Oryzias latipes: one gene and its partners. The protein of the gene in region 3 binds, or shares a complex with, the protein of the main gene of each other region. Links are inferred from orthologs where the notes say so. Each region holds a gene or a part of one and is shown on either strand. Other genes may lie near its edges.

Region 1 (4,266 bases), on a different chromosome or scaffold from region 3:
TCATTCACTCTGTGGTCATAAACGACACGGGACAACAGGTCCGCCATTTAGTGGATCCGCTCACCAATTCTTTATTCTTCTTCTTCTACTCTCCCAAATTTAACTTGCCACGCCCCCTGGTCTCTAGGGTAACCCGGGAGGGACACACCTCTCCCAAAATAAAAGATCCAGGAAGTTGGTTACATACGTCCACCCTTTCAAAAGAAATGTCCTCATTTCTACAATTTCTACAGGAAATGCAACAGGCCGGGGAGTGCAAAAAAATAAATAAAATAAATGAATTAAGAAATAAACATTCGAGACCCAATATGGCGTCAACAAAAGTCAACCAAACAGGAACAACATGAGTTTACAGAACCCACCGGCAAATTTCCCACCACAGGAGGGAGAGGAAAAAAAAAAATCTGAATAATAATACAACATTGCCTGCCAACCAACAGCATATTATTCAACAGAATCTTTCAAGGAAGGAAAACACAACAACATATGACAGTCTCCTCACAACACCAACAAAAATTTCACTGTGACATAACTCTGTATTGTTACATCCTAATAAAGTCCTGATAACGTGTTGGAGCACGCACCATTCTGCCACTGCGGGAGTGTGCAGGGGCTGTCCCAAACGCGTCCCTCTGACCCTGTTGGGGTGGATCACCATTATCTGGGGGGTCCAATGAAGTACCCGCCGAAGGAGAGGATGATGGCGGGGTGGACATACTGTCGTTTGGGGAACCAGCAGGCAGGGGAAGAGTGTAACGTTTTAACCTGTCATGATGAACAACCTGGGCCCGCTCAGACATATCCAGGGGGTTGACAATGCGATATGTCAAAGCGGCCTCTGCACCTGAAGCCAGAACCCGATCCACACGATAGGGACCTTTCCAGTGCGGTGCTAGTTTTGTGCGGCCCTCTGTTGGGTTATTAAGCCAGACCAGAGCACCCTCTGTAAAGCCCTTGTGGTGAGAGTTCTCATCATGGTACAGTTTCTGTTTCTCCTGCGCCTCTGCTGCATTAACCCTCGCTGCACTGAAAGCAATCTCCAGCCGCTCCACAAGAGACGACGCGTATAAAGGCAGCGTGGCTGCACTGCCAATGCCACCAACCCCACTAGGAATGAGAACCTCTGCCGGGGTCCGGGCTTCGCGCCCGTGCATAAGATAAAAGGGAGTAAACCGTGTGCTGGTGTGCTTGGAGATGTTGTAAGCAAAAGCAACAGATTTCAAATGGTCATCCCATTCCCCCCCCATGGGACAACAACATCTTGGCCAGCTGGTCAATTAGGGTAACCCGGGAGGGACACACCTCTCCCAAAATAAAAGATCCAGGAAGTTGGTTACATCTGTTTTAATTGTGGTTTGACACTTTATACAGCTGCCACAATATTGTAAACCTCAAATGTTTTTTCCAAACGAAAAACAATTGCTCTTCCGCCTGATAAACCTGGTCGCCTGCTGATGACGTAAGCAGAGCGACACGTGGAGCGCTGTTAGTAGCTAGCAAAGCGGTTACCCCCCTTTTGCGGAGACTACCGATTCGTTTTGAAGACAGACACGACCGTCATGGCCGCTGCTGGGACACCGGGCAGGAGAAGACTCCTGAAGGAGGAGGACATGACCAAGGTGGAGTTTGAAACCAGTGAAGAGGTGGATGTCACCCCTACCTTCGACACCATGGGGCTCCGTGAGGACCTGCTCCGGGGAATCTACGCCTACGGTAGGCCGGTGGATTCGAGAGGCCTCCGCCTCCAGATGCTAAGCCTAAATCCGCTGTGTGGTTCAGTTCACCTTAAAAAAGGAATGAAAACGTAGTTGGTATCAGACTACATCCCGTAATAACTTACATTAAAGCGGGTAGATTGGTGTGACCTGATCATTTTGTCGTTGGCGGGAAGAAAAACTTCATCTTTTTAGCCTTCATGCTAGCATGCTAAGGCCGCGTGCGGCCGCGCTGACATGAAATTAGTTTAAATTCGTGTTGATTATTTACTAAACGAAAACCAGATACTAAAATTTGCGGGTTTCGTTCAGTAATGCCTGGACACGATCTTTGTTGGTATTGTTGCTCGTAACAGTCATGATCCAGGAGTTAGACGGTTCCCATCCTATATGGCTTCGTATATGTAGCGAATATTTTACTAATTTCCCCCAGAACTATTAATAAATATATGTCAACACTTCTGTCTTAATGTGTATTTTAATTTTGTTTCTGTTCATGTGTTCTGTCTTCTCCAGACGGCAGAACATTTTATGAACATATTATCTGGACCCAAAAGGACGGGAGAAATCCCAATAGACAGAATCGATCAGATTTGTATCTACAGTAATATTGAAGTGTTGCACTGATAAAGATGAATTCTCTACATTTTCCTGGACTATTGTGCTTGAGAGGATCCTTCTTTACCCCTAAAACCCAGTTTCTCCATAGAAATCCTTTCTGTGGGACTAAAACTTTTCTTTCTGGTCAGCATCACCAGAACTTCCCACTTTGGTCCCCCTCAGTTTGAGCAGCATGGGAACTTCTCAGATGAGGTTTCTCTATGTGGAAATGAAGATGGACAGCACCTGACCAGGTTCTGGTTCTGTTACAGGTTTCGAGAAGCCTTCAGCCATTCAGCAGAGAGCCATCAAGCAGATCATCAAAGGCAGAGATGTCATCGCTCAGTAAGTCTGGGCTGGAAAACATGCAGGTGCTCTGGTCCTCCATGCTGTAACGTGTGATCTGTGCTGCATTCAGGTCCCAGTCTGGAACAGGAAAGACGGCCACTTTCTGTATTTCCGTCCTGCAGTGTCTGGACATCCAGGTGAGTTCTTGCTGTTCTTGTGTCCCGTGACAGACGGGCCAGAACCCGTTTGCAGCTCGGTGGTGATGCTGTTCCTTCTGCAGGTCAGGGAGACCCAGGCTCTAATTCTTGCTCCAACCAGAGAGCTGGCCGGACAGATTCAGAAGGTAGCCCCGCCTCCACCGCCATGTTCAGCCAAAGGCTTGTAAGGTAGAGGCGGCGGTGCCAGTCACGGTGTCCTGTGTGCAGGTGCTGCTGGCTCTGGGAGACTACATGAACGTTCAGTGTCACGCCTGCATCGGAGGAACCAACGTGGGCGAGGACATTCGCAAGCTGGACTACGGCCAGCACGTGGTAGCTGGCACCCCTGGACGGGTTTTTGGTGGGTTCAATGGGTTTTATGGCAAAAGTGGCACAAACGGGAATGCTGACGGCGTCTCTTTACAGACATGATTCGGCGCCGCAGTCTCAGGACCAGAGCTATCAAGATGCTGGTGTTGGATGAAGCTGATGAGATGCTGAACAAAGGTGAGGTCCTCTGCTGTTCAGCGTCTTCTGTACCTGCAAAGCAGCTCTGTCTGAGCTGAAAGCTCACCTGCTGGTCATCAGAATAACTCTGGCACCTTTGGTTACGTCTGAAATGTGTTGAAGGAGCAGGAAGGGTTGGTCCTTCCAGGTTGGAACCACCTGTTCCAGACACACTTGAAGGTCACCTTTCCTTTCAGTGGTCGTGTTTTCGGCTTAATGTGTCAGATTTGAAAAGTCCATTTGACGCCATCGGGCCGCGATGTCACCACTTCCTGTTTAGGACGTTTAAAGCAACACTTCAGTGAATTTTAACGGTGACATGGAGATGTTCTAAGTGAAGGTTAGGAAGAACCTTCAGCAGAATCTTCAGCAGAACCGCTAGCAGGGTCAGAACTTTAAATTCATGTCTGTAGTGTTGCTAGTGTCACTGCAGAGAATGGTTTCAGATTTCTGCTTTAACATTCCAGATTCGTGGGGGAGCAGAGCTTTTGGGGGGTGGGGGTGGTGGTCTCTGTAGCGCATGGGGAGGTCTTCATCTCACCACCACACATCTTTGCTTGGCTGTTGGTGTTTTTGCTCTTCGTCGCCATCAGATCTTTTTCATTCTAGAATCCTGGACGGATTTTTCTACGAAGGCTTGAACTTTAAGAGAAAAGTCTGGAAATGTTGACAGCTAGCTTGTGGATTTCACCTGTGGCCGGTTATTTTAGAAGGCAACTCCCGCGATGGGAATGCTGTAGTTGAGTTCCGGCGTGACTGCACTTCCTGAATGACCCTGGTCAGTCAAAGCCGCCGTCATGGCTGAAGTTCTGGCAGACCGTCCTAAACTACGAGCTCTCTGAGAGGTTTGGGGCCGGCCTCAGAGACGGAGATGCTTCTGGGTCTCAGGGACCAAAAATCAGGAGCAGCCTTTCTCCGGTTTGGAGCACCTGACATCTCTGAGACTTCATTTTCAGTCT
Region 2 (4,085 bases), on a different chromosome or scaffold from region 3:
TTCTATTTTCATGTGATGCATATATTCATATATATATATATATATATATATATATATATAACTTATCCAATTTTGCCAACGTAAATGAATTACTTCTATTGGTAACAAGTAATTGAGTTAAATTTATTCAATCTAATTTCTTACGTCTATAAAACTCAATCGTTGTTTTTACAGCTCAAATTTACATATTTATCTAACTAAATGTCATATTACTCCAATTCAAGTAATTTTTTTTCCATCGTAATGAATTATAATTCTTGAACTCTCAAATGTCTAAGTTTGAGCCGGCAGATCCTCATTTTAATAACAATAGAAAGAACAAAAGAGTGCATTCAGAGTGCGTTCATTCATTTAGGAATTTTCCAACATTGTCAGTATTCTAGTTAACCGTAGGGCTGCTCTATAAACTCATCATCCTCTTCCTCCCTCTCACTCATGGTGCAGAGACGTAAGCATAGTAGGACAAAATAACTCGGCAAAACACAGTAAAACAGCTACACAACTAAACACATTTGGTCAAAAACCCACACTTAAACCCAAATCCGTCCAGACAGGCAAAGGAAATGGTAACCCACAATCCCTTGTGGTGCCGATCTAACAGCAGCACCAAAGTTACACCTACTTAATTGAATTAATTTGAATGAAAGTGAAATAACTGTCTGAAAACTACGTGTTATTTTAAAACTGACTTAAAAAAATGATTTATCTTAACTGAAGCAAATAATGAAGTTAGATCAAAGTAAAAAGTTTATCTTTCCAACATCCATATGTGGTCTTATCATCCTCTCATGGTTGAAAAAGTATTATCTGAGCTTCTTCATCCACTAAATCATCTTCAAATGGACACGCCATGCTGCTTCACCTCTCTGAAAACAAACTAACCTTCAACTAAACCTGCTCCAGACCAGGTAATAACTTTAGCTTGTAGCTCCGCCCACACGCGGCCGCGGCATCAAGCTTTAAAGAACAATTTCTAAGAGGCGGGGCGTTGCACCCCCCAACAACAGGTTAGATGACAGAGCCCCCCGGTCCATTAAGCGTCTCTGCCGTTCACGGAGCTTCAGTACGTAGAAGTCCAACAGCCACACGGCCTAACGTAGTCCGCTATTATGTATTCATGAGGGAAACCGCAGAACCGACCCTAAAACCGCCCAATCTGGCAACACTGTCTTCCTCTTAACCAATCAGAGAGATACTTATTTGAAAGAGGGGGGTCGTTCCCGCTGCTTGTCCGTCACACCTCCCCGTCCCGATCCCGCCACCGGCTCCCGCATCTCTGCCGCGTGTCCCAAACACACCGGGAGCAGCTCCTCTGCTCTGCTTGTCTGGTTCTGCTGCAGATTCGTTCTTCACGGTCCAGAACTCCGAACCGCCCCTTCACACACCTGGGTCTGAGGAGAGAGGCGTTCACGGACCCTCGGAGTTCACAGCTACTTGGAGGAGGAGGAGATGCTGGGAGAATGTCTGAGGAGGGGAGTGGAGACGAAGAGCGGGCCGGCCCGCTGGACATATCTACATGAAACATATCTACATGAGACGTATTTGCTGGTTATGACATCATCAGTCTGCTGGTCATGACATCATCAGGCTGTTTATCCTCAGACGTCACCGTTCCTGACAGCCCTGTTCAGGGGGACCCAGACCCCCTTGTGGCTACACGGTTCTGCGGTGGCTGGACGGCTCAGGGACCCACCCTGGATGATAGTGGTCACTCAGTGGGAATCGAACGCTGATTTCTGATTTCTGCTGGTTTAGTTTGGGTGAACCAGGATGTTTATTTCTTTTCTTTTATGAAGTTCCTGAAATTTGGAATGTTTTTATACAATCGCGTCCAGCAGGCAGCGGTAACCGAAATAAACTCTATTTCCCACAATCCTTTGGGGTTTCCGGTTCCAGCTTGTTCGGAGTTCTAAGATGGCGGACCGGCGGCGACGGAGGAGGCGCGCGTCCCAGGACAGCGAGGACGAGTCCGGGTCCGGGTCCGGTTCGGACAGTGGCAGGTCGGGATCGCCGGCTACGAAGGCGCGAGGGCGGGACGTGGTTCCGGAGGAGCCGGTGGAGGCCCGGCGGGAGGAGGCGAAGAAGAGCGACGTGGAGTCCGAGTGTGTGAGTAGCTGCGCCGGCTAACCCGGGAGCTAACGGCGGCTCCGGGAGGCGGCCGGCGGCGGTGACCCGGCCCGCTGCCCGGTGGGCCGGACCGGACTGGCAGCGGGGAAACGGTGGGGTGGGGGGTCATTCACGCCGTAGAGCAACCGCTTCCGGTTTACAACTCCCTTCAAGCTGCTCAAACTCTGAGAATGTCCGTTAATTTGAGTCGCGCGCGCCGCAGAGGGCTGGGGAGGGAGGGAGGGAGGGAGGGGGGGGGTCTGCACTGAACCCGGCAGAGGGCTTCCAGGGTCCTGGCCGGCTTTAGTCCGGTTCTGCTGGGTTCCGTGGGGCAGGTCCCGCTATGAGTCACCAGATAAGAAGCGGAACCGGGTTTCTGCTGCTTTGGGTCCAGTCACACGGACTCGAACCTGAGCCCAGAGGAAGCTGCTATGTTGGGGATTTGAACCTGCATCTCTGCTCCAAACATACACACGGCGCTCCTGCTGGCTGCATCACGTGACCAGAGATGGATCAGACGCAGGGTGGACTGCAGATCGGAACCAGCCTTCATATCGGCCCACATCCTGGACCACGTGATACATTCTGACCCCCCCCCCCCCCCCCCCCCCCCCCCCCCGTTCAGCAGCTGGCTTACATACACAGATGGGGGCGGGGCTACCTGGCCAGCACCAAAGGCACCTGAGGTTTCAGTTCCCGCCCAAACACAGACAGACCCCCCCCTTCCCCCGATGGGCTGTATGTGGGCACTGGAGTGAGCGATGATGCGTTCACACAACGCCGTTCTCGTGTCTCCTCCGTGTCGGACGCCTGTCCTGGAACGTCTTCATCTAGAGCAGTGTCTTTCAACCAGTGTGCCGTGGGAAATTGCCCTCATTCACTGATCTAAAAACATTTTCCATCTCCAGGATTTCAGCTCTGTGTTCATCCAAACATCCTGATAAAACACTGAGGAGTTAGGAATATGAAAGATCATAAAATACTTTTTTTTGCGTTTATTTTATTTTATTAAAGACATTTTGATAAGAATGACGCGATTCAGCTGCACCTTCGGCTGTATTTTGGAAAAGTCCCGCCCCTTTAACTGTCTTCACCAATCATTCTTGGGGGGCTTAATCACATGTCATCAGTCTGACCAATCAGAAGTGGTTAAAGTCTTCACTTCCGTGTTCTTAATTCTGCTCATAAAGTCACTCAGTTCTAACAAAAATACCAGCTAAAGCTCGTCTTTAGCGGTGTAGCTTTCCACAGAATCCGGTATCAGACCGTGGAACAAGTGAACAAAACCATGAAGCTCCGAAAAGCGATCTTTGGCCGTTTTATGCACTACATCTCCCATGATGCATTGGGTTGTGAGAGTGACGGTGCACAGGGAGATCTGTTGTTAAACGTCTTGAAACCAACGAACACACAAACTATTTTTAAATCTTCTAACTTAACTTTTATTGCATCTTTTAGAAAAAACAGCTGCAGTTTCCAGCTTTTTCTGCAACAACTATCTCAAAAATGCATGTGAGATTGTGGAGGGAGGGGCTGTAGATCAATACAGACTATGAGATTCTCCTTTTTTTTATTTTAATTTTTGGATGCTGGTGGGCCGCGGGATTTTTTTTAAGGTTAAAATGTGCCGTGGCTCAGAAAAGGTTGAAAAACACTGGTCTAGAGGCTCCAGCGGCGAGTGGGAGGAGCTACTGTTAAAGGACCTGGATGATGTTTGGAGAGCTCAGCGTTAGTAATCCCGCCTCCACGTCTGCGTTCATGACATCTCCGTGGTGCGGCGAGCTTCACCGTCTGCTTTATGGCGGCGCTTCCAGCGCTCCTGTCTCCGTTTGACGACTTCCTGTCAACATTTTATGTCGTCTCCATGAAACCGACATCCTGATGTTCAGGACAGCAGATCCTCCAGAAATCAGACATTTATCGTCATTTCCAGCTGTGCAACACGTAGATCGCAAAAGACGGCCAAAAGGTCAACAAAT
Region 3 (4,163 bases):
TGGATGCATCAGAATGGAGCGGAGCAGAGAGGTCGTGGCTTGTTGCTGTGCTGGCTTTGACGTCACACCTACAAGTCTTTTCCAACAGCATGTTTTCATCTGCTCTTGATTTACATCAAGATTAAAGAAACACTAAGAAACGCAATTTTGAGGCAAATTTTCTTTTTTATGTTCTCCATCATAAAGTATGAGCCACAAGAAGAACACCAAAAAACACAGATTATCATGGAAGGTCCTTCAAGTTTAGCATTTTCAAGGATCGGTTGAATTCTAAGCCCAGCTGCCGCATTGATAACCTTAACTACCAAATAAATTATTCAAATGTGAACTTTGCAATAAGTAAAACGTTATTCTATAAAAGTATTTAATTCTCCCTTTCAAAATAAGGCTTCACCTTGGAATCAAAGTAGTGACCCGTTCCTCCAACTCGTCTGTCTCTCTCCATCAGGTACCACTGCCACGGAACCCGGGCGACCCTTTTCTCCTACATCATGTCACATGGTGGAAATAATTAGTCGTGTAAATGCATTTTGAAGTCTTGGTTACATTTAAAGCATTACCTTTCCTCCGTTGGTGAACTTGTGAATTTGTATGGTGGCAAGACCTGGAATCATGAGAGCCACGGCCATAAGGCTCAGACCGGGTAAGATTTCATACCACATGTTTCTTAAATGTCACGATCAGGCGGATGATTAAAGATGCGAAGACAACTGAGTTGCCTTTAGGCGAGAAAATGAGCTTTATTTTGGTTAATGGCTAACGAAATGTCCCCGCACAAATGACCTGCGTTCGACAACCGGAAGAGAACGTTAAGTTCCGGTTGAAACATTTCAAAAGAAAAAAAAGTGTTTGCCACTTTTGCAAAACTGCAGATAAAAGCTCTGTGCATTATTGAATATTTTAGTAATGTTTTACTGTATATTATTAATACAATTGTAAATAAAATTGTACTGATAAAATACGGTTTAAATTTTAACAGAATCTTAAAATGTCATGCGATTGCAGGCATTTTGGTGTACTTTGTCCACACGGGATCAATTTCAATTTTTTTCTTTCGTTTTTCGGTTTACAGTGTACGTTTAAAATTTACTTTGTGCCGTCGAAGTAAAGGACAATCAAAACAATTAATTCGACAGGGTCATTTTGAGCTTTAATTTTGAAAATTTGAAATCATAAATCCCAATTAACTTAAACCCAAATTCACTTTGCTGTTGTTTCCTTTAGACAAAGTATTTGACGCGTAACATTAAAATATTTAAAAACGGAAACCGTTGAATTATTTCAATGTAAAATATTTTCTTGATAAACTTCCCCCAACATACACATAAAGTTGTTTCGGGTGGGTGAGTGCGCCCTCTACAGCCCAATGCCGGAATTGCATGTCTGTCAAATAGGAAGTTAGTACGCTTGCTACTAGCTGGCTAATTTTCTAAAAGGTAAACAAGTGTGTCGGATGAGTTGAGATTAAACTTCGACTAAAATTAACTTTGCGCCATGAAAGAAGACAAAGAAAACACCCGACCAAGAGAGAAAAGAGTGGACATAAAATGCGAAGATCTAGAAAAGACAGAGAAGTCTAAAGAAAAAAAGGAAGCCATGACAAAGGTACAATTTGCTAGCTGGGTTAGCTAATGTTGCTACAACCGTTACGTTATAATATAGATTCAAGAAGTTCAAAGTAGCTGAATGCGTTTAAAATGTGTGTGGGGTTCTTTTGTATGTTGCACAACTTATTTTAAATGATACAATTGACAACAGTGTAATGAATTAATGTTTTAGCCTAGTTTTGAATGAATAGCTATTGGGCAAATAATACATTTTAGTAGAATTTTGCTGTTAACCATGTTTTCCAAGATTGTGATCAGACGATTACCACCCACGTTGACCAAAGAAGAGTTAGAGGAACAGTTGCAACCCCTCCCAGAGGTTGACTACCTGGAGTTTTTCTCCAATGACACCAGGTGAATTTCTGGACCATTTCATGCACAAGATAACATTTCTTGCAATGTGTTTTTGTTTTTTTAATTATTTTCTTTTTTTCCCTTTAAATTCCAGCCTTTACCCACACCTCTTTGCAAGAGCTTACATTAACTTCAGAAACGAAGAAGATGTGGTCCTCTTCAGGGATCGCTTTGATGGCTACGTGTTTGTTGACGGCAAAGGTCTGAGGAGCACACACACACGCTTGGAACTTTTTGAGCTAACAACACATAGAGTTTGTGCTTAGCATTTCATTCTGAAACAGGTCAAGAATTTCCTGCGATTGTGGAGTTTGCACCTTTTCAAAAGACTGCCAAGAAAAGAATAAAGAAGAAGGACTCAAAGTGTGGCACAATTGCAGAAGGTAAGACTTTTATACCTTTGAATATCTAGTGGTTTTCTCCAACACGTCTGAAGTTTGAAGGTGTTTTATGCCCTAGTCACAGCTGCTCTTGCAAATGGGTACGGGTTGTCTGTACGGGGTACGCAGGGGTCCCCATAAAATAGGATAAAGATAAGATAAAGAGACTTTACTGATCCCAGCTTGGGAAATTGGGTAGTTGCAGCGTCAGCATACAGACTCAATTCAAACACACAAACAGAGGTGACAATCAGAAACAAAACAATCGGTTCACATAACAGCTCTAAAAAAACAGACAAATGAGTTTATCTATTGCAAATGGATGACGAGTTATAGAATCCGATGGAGTGAGGTAGGAATGATCCCCTGTAGCGGTCGCTGTGACCATGAAGCTGCCTTAGCCTCTTGGAGAAGGTGGTCCGCTGACCGTCCAGAACAGGTCAGGATTATCCATGATGGATGCGTGCTTTTTCAAAGTCCTCCTCTCCATCAGAGCTTCAAATGTGTCCATTGTGAACCAGATTACAGAGCCAGCTCTTCTGATCAGTTTGTTCAGTCTTTTAGTGTCCCTGGCAGCTATGCCCCCCCCAGCAGACCACCAAGAAGAACAGAGTGCTGGCCACAACAAACTGGTAGAAAATCTTGAGCATCTTGCTGCACACGTTGAAGGACCTTAGTTTCCTCAGGAAGTAGAGTCTGCTGCTGGCCTTCTTGTACACACTAGCTAACCACTGCTGTGTACAGATTTGTGTCCAGATCAGAGATGTCTCTGTGAGCCTGTAGAGCAAATATGTTCATGCGTTACATGCTGTGGGCAACAGGTTGTAGGGAACACTGAAGTAGGTGAAAGACAGGCGTGTCGCATAGATTTTTCATGTTTTCAACCCCACCAAACCCTGTGTGCTGTGCAGAGAGTCCGTTAGTGCTCTAGAAGTGAAATGTGTGTGCGGCGTACTTGCAGCCTGACTGTTTGGAAAAAAGAAATTAGAGCGTTTGTGTGGGTTTCCTCTGGGCATTCTATGGGCACTATTACGGGCACAGCATTTGTGGGCGGTTAGTAACGAACAAATAGTAAAAACATAAGAAAATACATGAGATTTAAACACCCTACCTTTTTGTGTTTTTGATTCTTTTTATTTTCCCAGAATGATTGCAGATGTCAGACGCTGTTTTATATGCTAGTTTGGTCTTTTTTTCTGCACATTGGCGCAGTGGTTAGCCTCACTGCAAGCCCCCCCCCCCCCCCCCCCCCCCGCTTCAAGTCCTGGCTGGGGGACCTTTCTGTGTGGAGTTTGCATGTTCTCTCCATGCATGCGTGGGTTTTCTCCGGGGTCTCCAGCTTCCTCCCACCATCCGAAAACACGCTTCATAGGATAATTGGTTATTCCAAATTATCCCTAGTTGTGAATGTGTGGCCCTGCGACAGACTGGTGACCTGTCCAGGATGTCCCCCTCCCTTGCCCATGAGTGGTCGGGATAGGCTCTAGCAGCCCTGTGACCCCAAAAGGGACAAAACAGGTTTTGAAGATGAATTAATAAATGACTGAATGAATAGTAATGAGCCAATGCGTGCACCTAACTAACGACGGGAGTGCATCGTTAGGACGCAGTACACCAGCATCGTTATAAGGCGCGTGCGGCATTACAATGGTACGTTCCACTTTCTTGACATCCCATAAGGAAGCGGCACAAGTCTCCAGGTCAACCACTGTACACGTGTTACTATAAGTCATAACCTTGAAAGGTGTGTGTCATTAACAACTTTGACCCTTTTTGTTGATGTCAGATCCAGATTACAAAAGGTTTCTTGAGTATTACAACG
Region 4 (4,008 bases), on a different chromosome or scaffold from region 3:
CTTACATGTGCAGTCATGCTCTTATTAGTAATAAAGATGATTCTGATTCTAAAACCTTGACATCAATATTAACACAGAATGTACTAATAATAATTATGATAGAAATTGCAACTCTAATATTAATAACAAGTATAGTCACAATTTTAATAATAGAAATGCTATCCCTTGCAGTATAATAAAGTATTTTAAATCATATTTTTGTTGTGTGAATGTTGACACTAATGTTTAAAACAAATGTATACATTTCTCATTGTTCTCATTATATCAGTGATGACACTAAATATAATACCAAGATAACAACAATTTTCAATTCTTGAAAATATATGGCATGGAAATTTTAACAATGCTATTAATAACAAATATATCATTAATTATATTGCATTAAATTGTCCACACTAAAGTATAAAAAATCATGATTATTTATTAATATCATGATTGAGTAAGTAAGTAAATTTTATTTGCATAGCACCTTTCACAGACAAAGATCACAGGTTAAAATATATATATATATATATATATATATATATATATATATATATACATATAAAAACATAAAAGATAAAAAGCACAAACCACGTAAAACAATCATCTCAAGCCCAATGAAAGCAGTTTCAGTTAAAATGCTTTGCAAAAATAAAAAGTTTTCATGATGATAAATGTAAATTATTTCATAAGGGATAAATTAGAAATCATGATTATTAAAACATAAATTATCGTTTAATATTATGCATTTTTACCAGTAACACATGTGATATTAATCATGAATATTATAATAAAACTCTGCACTAAAAATTAATAACAAAAATTTCATTTTCAAATAAAAACTCATTATTAATCTTATTATTATATTTGACTAATTTTATATTAATAAATGCAAATTTTCTTCATCTCCTATTTTTTCCCTGTGTTATTAATCAAACAAATTTAAATGTATCTCAGTAACATCTCCAAAAGTCTTAATCAGAAAGCTGCATGTTTGTATGAAAGTTGTTGAAATCTGAATGTTTTTTTTTATCTAAAACTCCTGTAATATGTATGCTACCCTGGCATATCTGAAGTTTACTTAGCAAAATTGTGTTTTGTATTAAACTTACTTACGTTTTGTACAATAAAGTTTAAAAAAAAATCTTTACGGAAGTTACGTACTCAGACTCTTTAGTGATTCTCCGTGCGCATGCGCTGTTCGTACTCAGTCAAACAGACATCATGGCGGACGTGTTGGACCTTCATGAGGCGGGAGGAGAAGACTTTCCTATGGATGAGGATGGTGACGGTATTGCGTTGTTTTACACAATTAGAGGCGGACGCACCGCAGTCCTGCCAGCCAAATAATGAAATTCAAATAGCCGCACGTGCGGTCAGAATCACGCTCAGCCCAGACTGCGTGTTTGTTAGCGGGCCGCAGCCGTGTTAGCATCCAGCTAACTCAACGAAAGGCGGTCATTCATCCACTTAGCGAGCCTCTCAGCGGGGGTGCAGCCGTCTGTGTTTGCGAGGGCCGCTTTTAAAATGTTAATTATTTAAACGGACTGTATTTTTCTCTGCACGTTAAAGCTGTTTTGTTTTCTATTAAGCTAGCGCTAGCATCCATGTTAGCCAACGGCTACATGCTGTTAGTGTTGCGCAGATGAGAGAAAAAACGTCGATTTAAAAATTGCACATTGTTCCTAAAAAAACAACCCAAAAACACATATAGTTACTCCATTTGAGAACTTCATAAACTAAACTCTTGTGAATTAAAGGAAACTGAAAACGGCGTCCTTAGGCTTTTATTCGTCTGTTTGCAGAAAGCATCCACAAGTTAAAGGAGAAAGCCAAGAAGAGGAAAGGACGAGGTTTTGGTGCAGGTGAGCTTTCAAAGCATTTTTCCCTTTATTTTTCTTGACTTCTTAGGGTTTGGTTTTGATTCTAAGTTTTTGATTCCAGATGATGGGGCCCGGTCCAGAGCCAAAGAGGACTATGATACTGTGGAACAGGACGGAGATGAGCCTGGGCCTCAGAGATGTAGGTGTTACAAGTGACCTTCATGTTCAGATAGAAGCAAATTAACAAGCTGTAGTCACACTTAGATTGTAAAAAATCTAAGATCTTTGTGTGTATTTTTTTTTATTTTATTTATTTAATTTGATTATAGAATAAATGGTCAATGTTGTGCTTTTCTACCTTTACTAAGCCACTAAGGGCTTGAAAGTCCCAGTCCCATGCACAGTCACAGCCTGTAACCCCCACGAGCGTTGTGGGGTTTAAGTGTCTTGCCCAAAAGACACGTCCACACATGGGCAGGCAAGGCAGGAACTGAACTTTTGATTGAAGGTCTACCTCTGCATCACAGCTGCAGATAACTAATTTAATTTAACCTAAAGTTCATTGTTTAAAAGTTATAAATCAGTTTCACGGCTGCGTTTTAATTTTGACCTATGCAAAAACTAAAAAACTGCTCTGAAACAATGCAGACTTTTACTTTTGAAACTGCGTGAATGCCAGCAGGTCAGGTAAACTCATCTGCTTGTCTTGGTGTGGAGACTGGGGGGTTTGGGTGTCTGATGCCCTGTTCCCTCCCCTCTCTGCAGCTGTAGAAGGCTGGATCCTGTTTGTGACGGGCGTGCACGAGGAGGCCACAGAGGAAGACATCCACGATAAGTTCTCAGAGTTTGGGGAAATCAAGAACCTCCATCTTAATCTGGATCGCAGAACTGGCTATCTGAAGGTGAGTTTAAACCATTTCCTTTTTCTTTGAACACATTTTGTATTTTAAAGACACAACATTTGGATGTCAAATGTTGCTTATGTTCCAATGAACATCTAAGCGGAAGAAGTGAATATTTGATCAACATTAAAAACAAGCATTTAGGCAGTAATTATCAGAGGGAAGGATGGAAGTCATCATATTAATGATGTGGAAGATTTCATTCAGTAGGATTTAATCATATATTTTATAATACTTGTAGAAAAGAAAGTTGGTTGCTAAAATAAGGCTGTTGTGTTCTCAGAACAGTTGCGTGAAGGGGTTAAGAGAGAGCCTGGACTGCCCTTTTGTAGCAGCACTTTAGTTTCTGTGAAGTGAAGCTGATATTTAAGAACAGTCGTATGAAAAACAAACTATTTCGGCTTTATTATTACTGAGGGATTTTCTTTCCGTCTTATTGGTGTTTGGCCGCCACTAAAGGCTAAAATGCTCAGTGTTGAGTCTTTGACTTTTCCACCAAAATAAAAGCTTTGGCATAATTCTGGTCTAACTGCACGACACAAAAATGGATGAGAAAAGCATTTGGGGGGCCGTGAGAAGAAGAGGGTTGACCTTTCTGCAGTTTGTTACTTCACGGTCTGCTCAGTGAAGGAGGAAACCGTCTGACATCTGCACTTTGTGATCAGAACTGTATTATAATAATTGTCAGATTTCAAAGGGTTGTTTTTCAGTTTTAAAACGAGTCTGAGGATACTTAAAGCCTGACTGTCACTGTATTTTCACTCAAAAAAAATATGTTTTTCTCTTTTGGTGCAGTGTTTTTCAACCAGTTTATAACTGGAAAAAAATTCCATTTCACCTAATTGGGCTAAAAAAATGTTTTCCGTTAGCAGGATATCAGTTCTGTGTTCATCCGAACAGACCCGGCTTTTCCACTGGAGTATTTAGAAATGTCTGCTTTGGTTTTATTGGTTTAGTTTAGTTTGTCATTTGCATTGTTTACCTAACATACAGTATAAACAATTAATTAAAAAAATAGGCAGAAGCATATGAAGCTTATTATATGCCTGTCCTTCAATGTCCAAGTTAATCAGTTTAACAAACCAAAAAGTAGGAAACAGTCCTTAATAAATGGAGACAAGTAAACAAAGTCCTTCTACATCTGTGTTTTGTAACCTTTAATATGTTTTAGACTTTTTTTCTTTTAACTGAGAATTACGTCATTTTAATTCATCGCTCAATTCCTTCCATTATTTCACGTCAAGAACTGAAACACATCTTGTCTTGACATTAGATCGAACATTAAACCTGTTCAAAATGAG

Evidence for each region. The genes of interacting proteins can lie anywhere in the genome.
Region 1: upf3b (region 3) and eif4a3 share a complex: the UniProt entries of both Homo sapiens proteins name them as parts of the mRNA splicing-dependent exon junction complex. The link is inferred for Oryzias latipes from reciprocal best matches to the Homo sapiens genes UPF3B and EIF4A3.
Region 2: upf3b (region 3) and casc3 share a complex: the UniProt entries of both Homo sapiens proteins name them as parts of the mRNA splicing-dependent exon junction complex. The link is inferred for Oryzias latipes from reciprocal best matches to the Homo sapiens genes UPF3B and CASC3.
Region 4: upf3b (region 3) and rbm8a share a complex: the UniProt entries of both Homo sapiens proteins name them as parts of the mRNA splicing-dependent exon junction complex. The link is inferred for Oryzias latipes from reciprocal best matches to the Homo sapiens genes UPF3B and RBM8A.

The regions. Positions count from the first base shown.
Region 1 is NC_019859.2:158,181-162,446, reverse strand, and holds the start of eif4a3 (eukaryotic initiation factor 4A-III), read left to right. Parts: upstream 1-1,456; 5' UTR 1,457-1,559; coding exon 1,560-1,713; intron 1,714-2,587; coding exon 2,588-2,660; intron 2,661-2,733; coding exon 2,734-2,800; intron 2,801-2,883; coding exon 2,884-2,946; intron 2,947-3,028; coding exon 3,029-3,161; intron 3,162-3,226; coding exon 3,227-3,307; intron 3,308-4,266. UniProt on the Homo sapiens protein: ATP-dependent RNA helicase. Involved in pre-mRNA splicing as component of the spliceosome. Core component of the splicing-dependent multiprotein exon junction complex (EJC) deposited at splice junctions on mRNAs.
Region 2 is NC_019866.2:506,196-510,280, reverse strand, and holds the start of casc3 (protein CASC3), read left to right. Parts: upstream 1-1,275; 5' UTR 1,276-1,914; coding exon 1,915-2,106; intron 2,107-4,085. UniProt on the Homo sapiens protein: Required for pre-mRNA splicing as component of the spliceosome. Core component of the splicing-dependent multiprotein exon junction complex (EJC) deposited at splice junctions on mRNAs.
Region 3 is NC_019868.2:9,735,315-9,739,477, reverse strand, and holds the start of upf3b (regulator of nonsense transcripts 3B), read left to right. Parts: upstream 1-1,361; 5' UTR 1,362-1,494; coding exon 1,495-1,605; intron 1,606-1,854; coding exon 1,855-1,961; intron 1,962-2,055; coding exon 2,056-2,162; intron 2,163-2,245; coding exon 2,246-2,344; intron 2,345-4,127; coding exon 4,128-4,163. Other genes in the region: ndufa1 (NADH dehydrogenase [ubiquinone] 1 alpha subcomplex subunit 1), read right to left, coding at 395-484, 561-662. UniProt on the Homo sapiens protein: Involved in nonsense-mediated decay (NMD) of mRNAs containing premature stop codons by associating with the nuclear exon junction complex (EJC) and serving as link between the EJC core and NMD machinery.
Region 4 is NC_019874.2:29,126,852-29,130,859, forward strand, and holds the start of rbm8a (RNA-binding protein 8A), read left to right. Parts: upstream 1-1,198; 5' UTR 1,199-1,206; coding exon 1,207-1,267; coding exon of another isoform or gene 1,268-1,273; intron 1,274-1,787; coding exon 1,788-1,847; intron 1,848-1,926; coding exon 1,927-2,004; intron 2,005-2,570; coding exon 2,571-2,707; intron 2,708-4,008.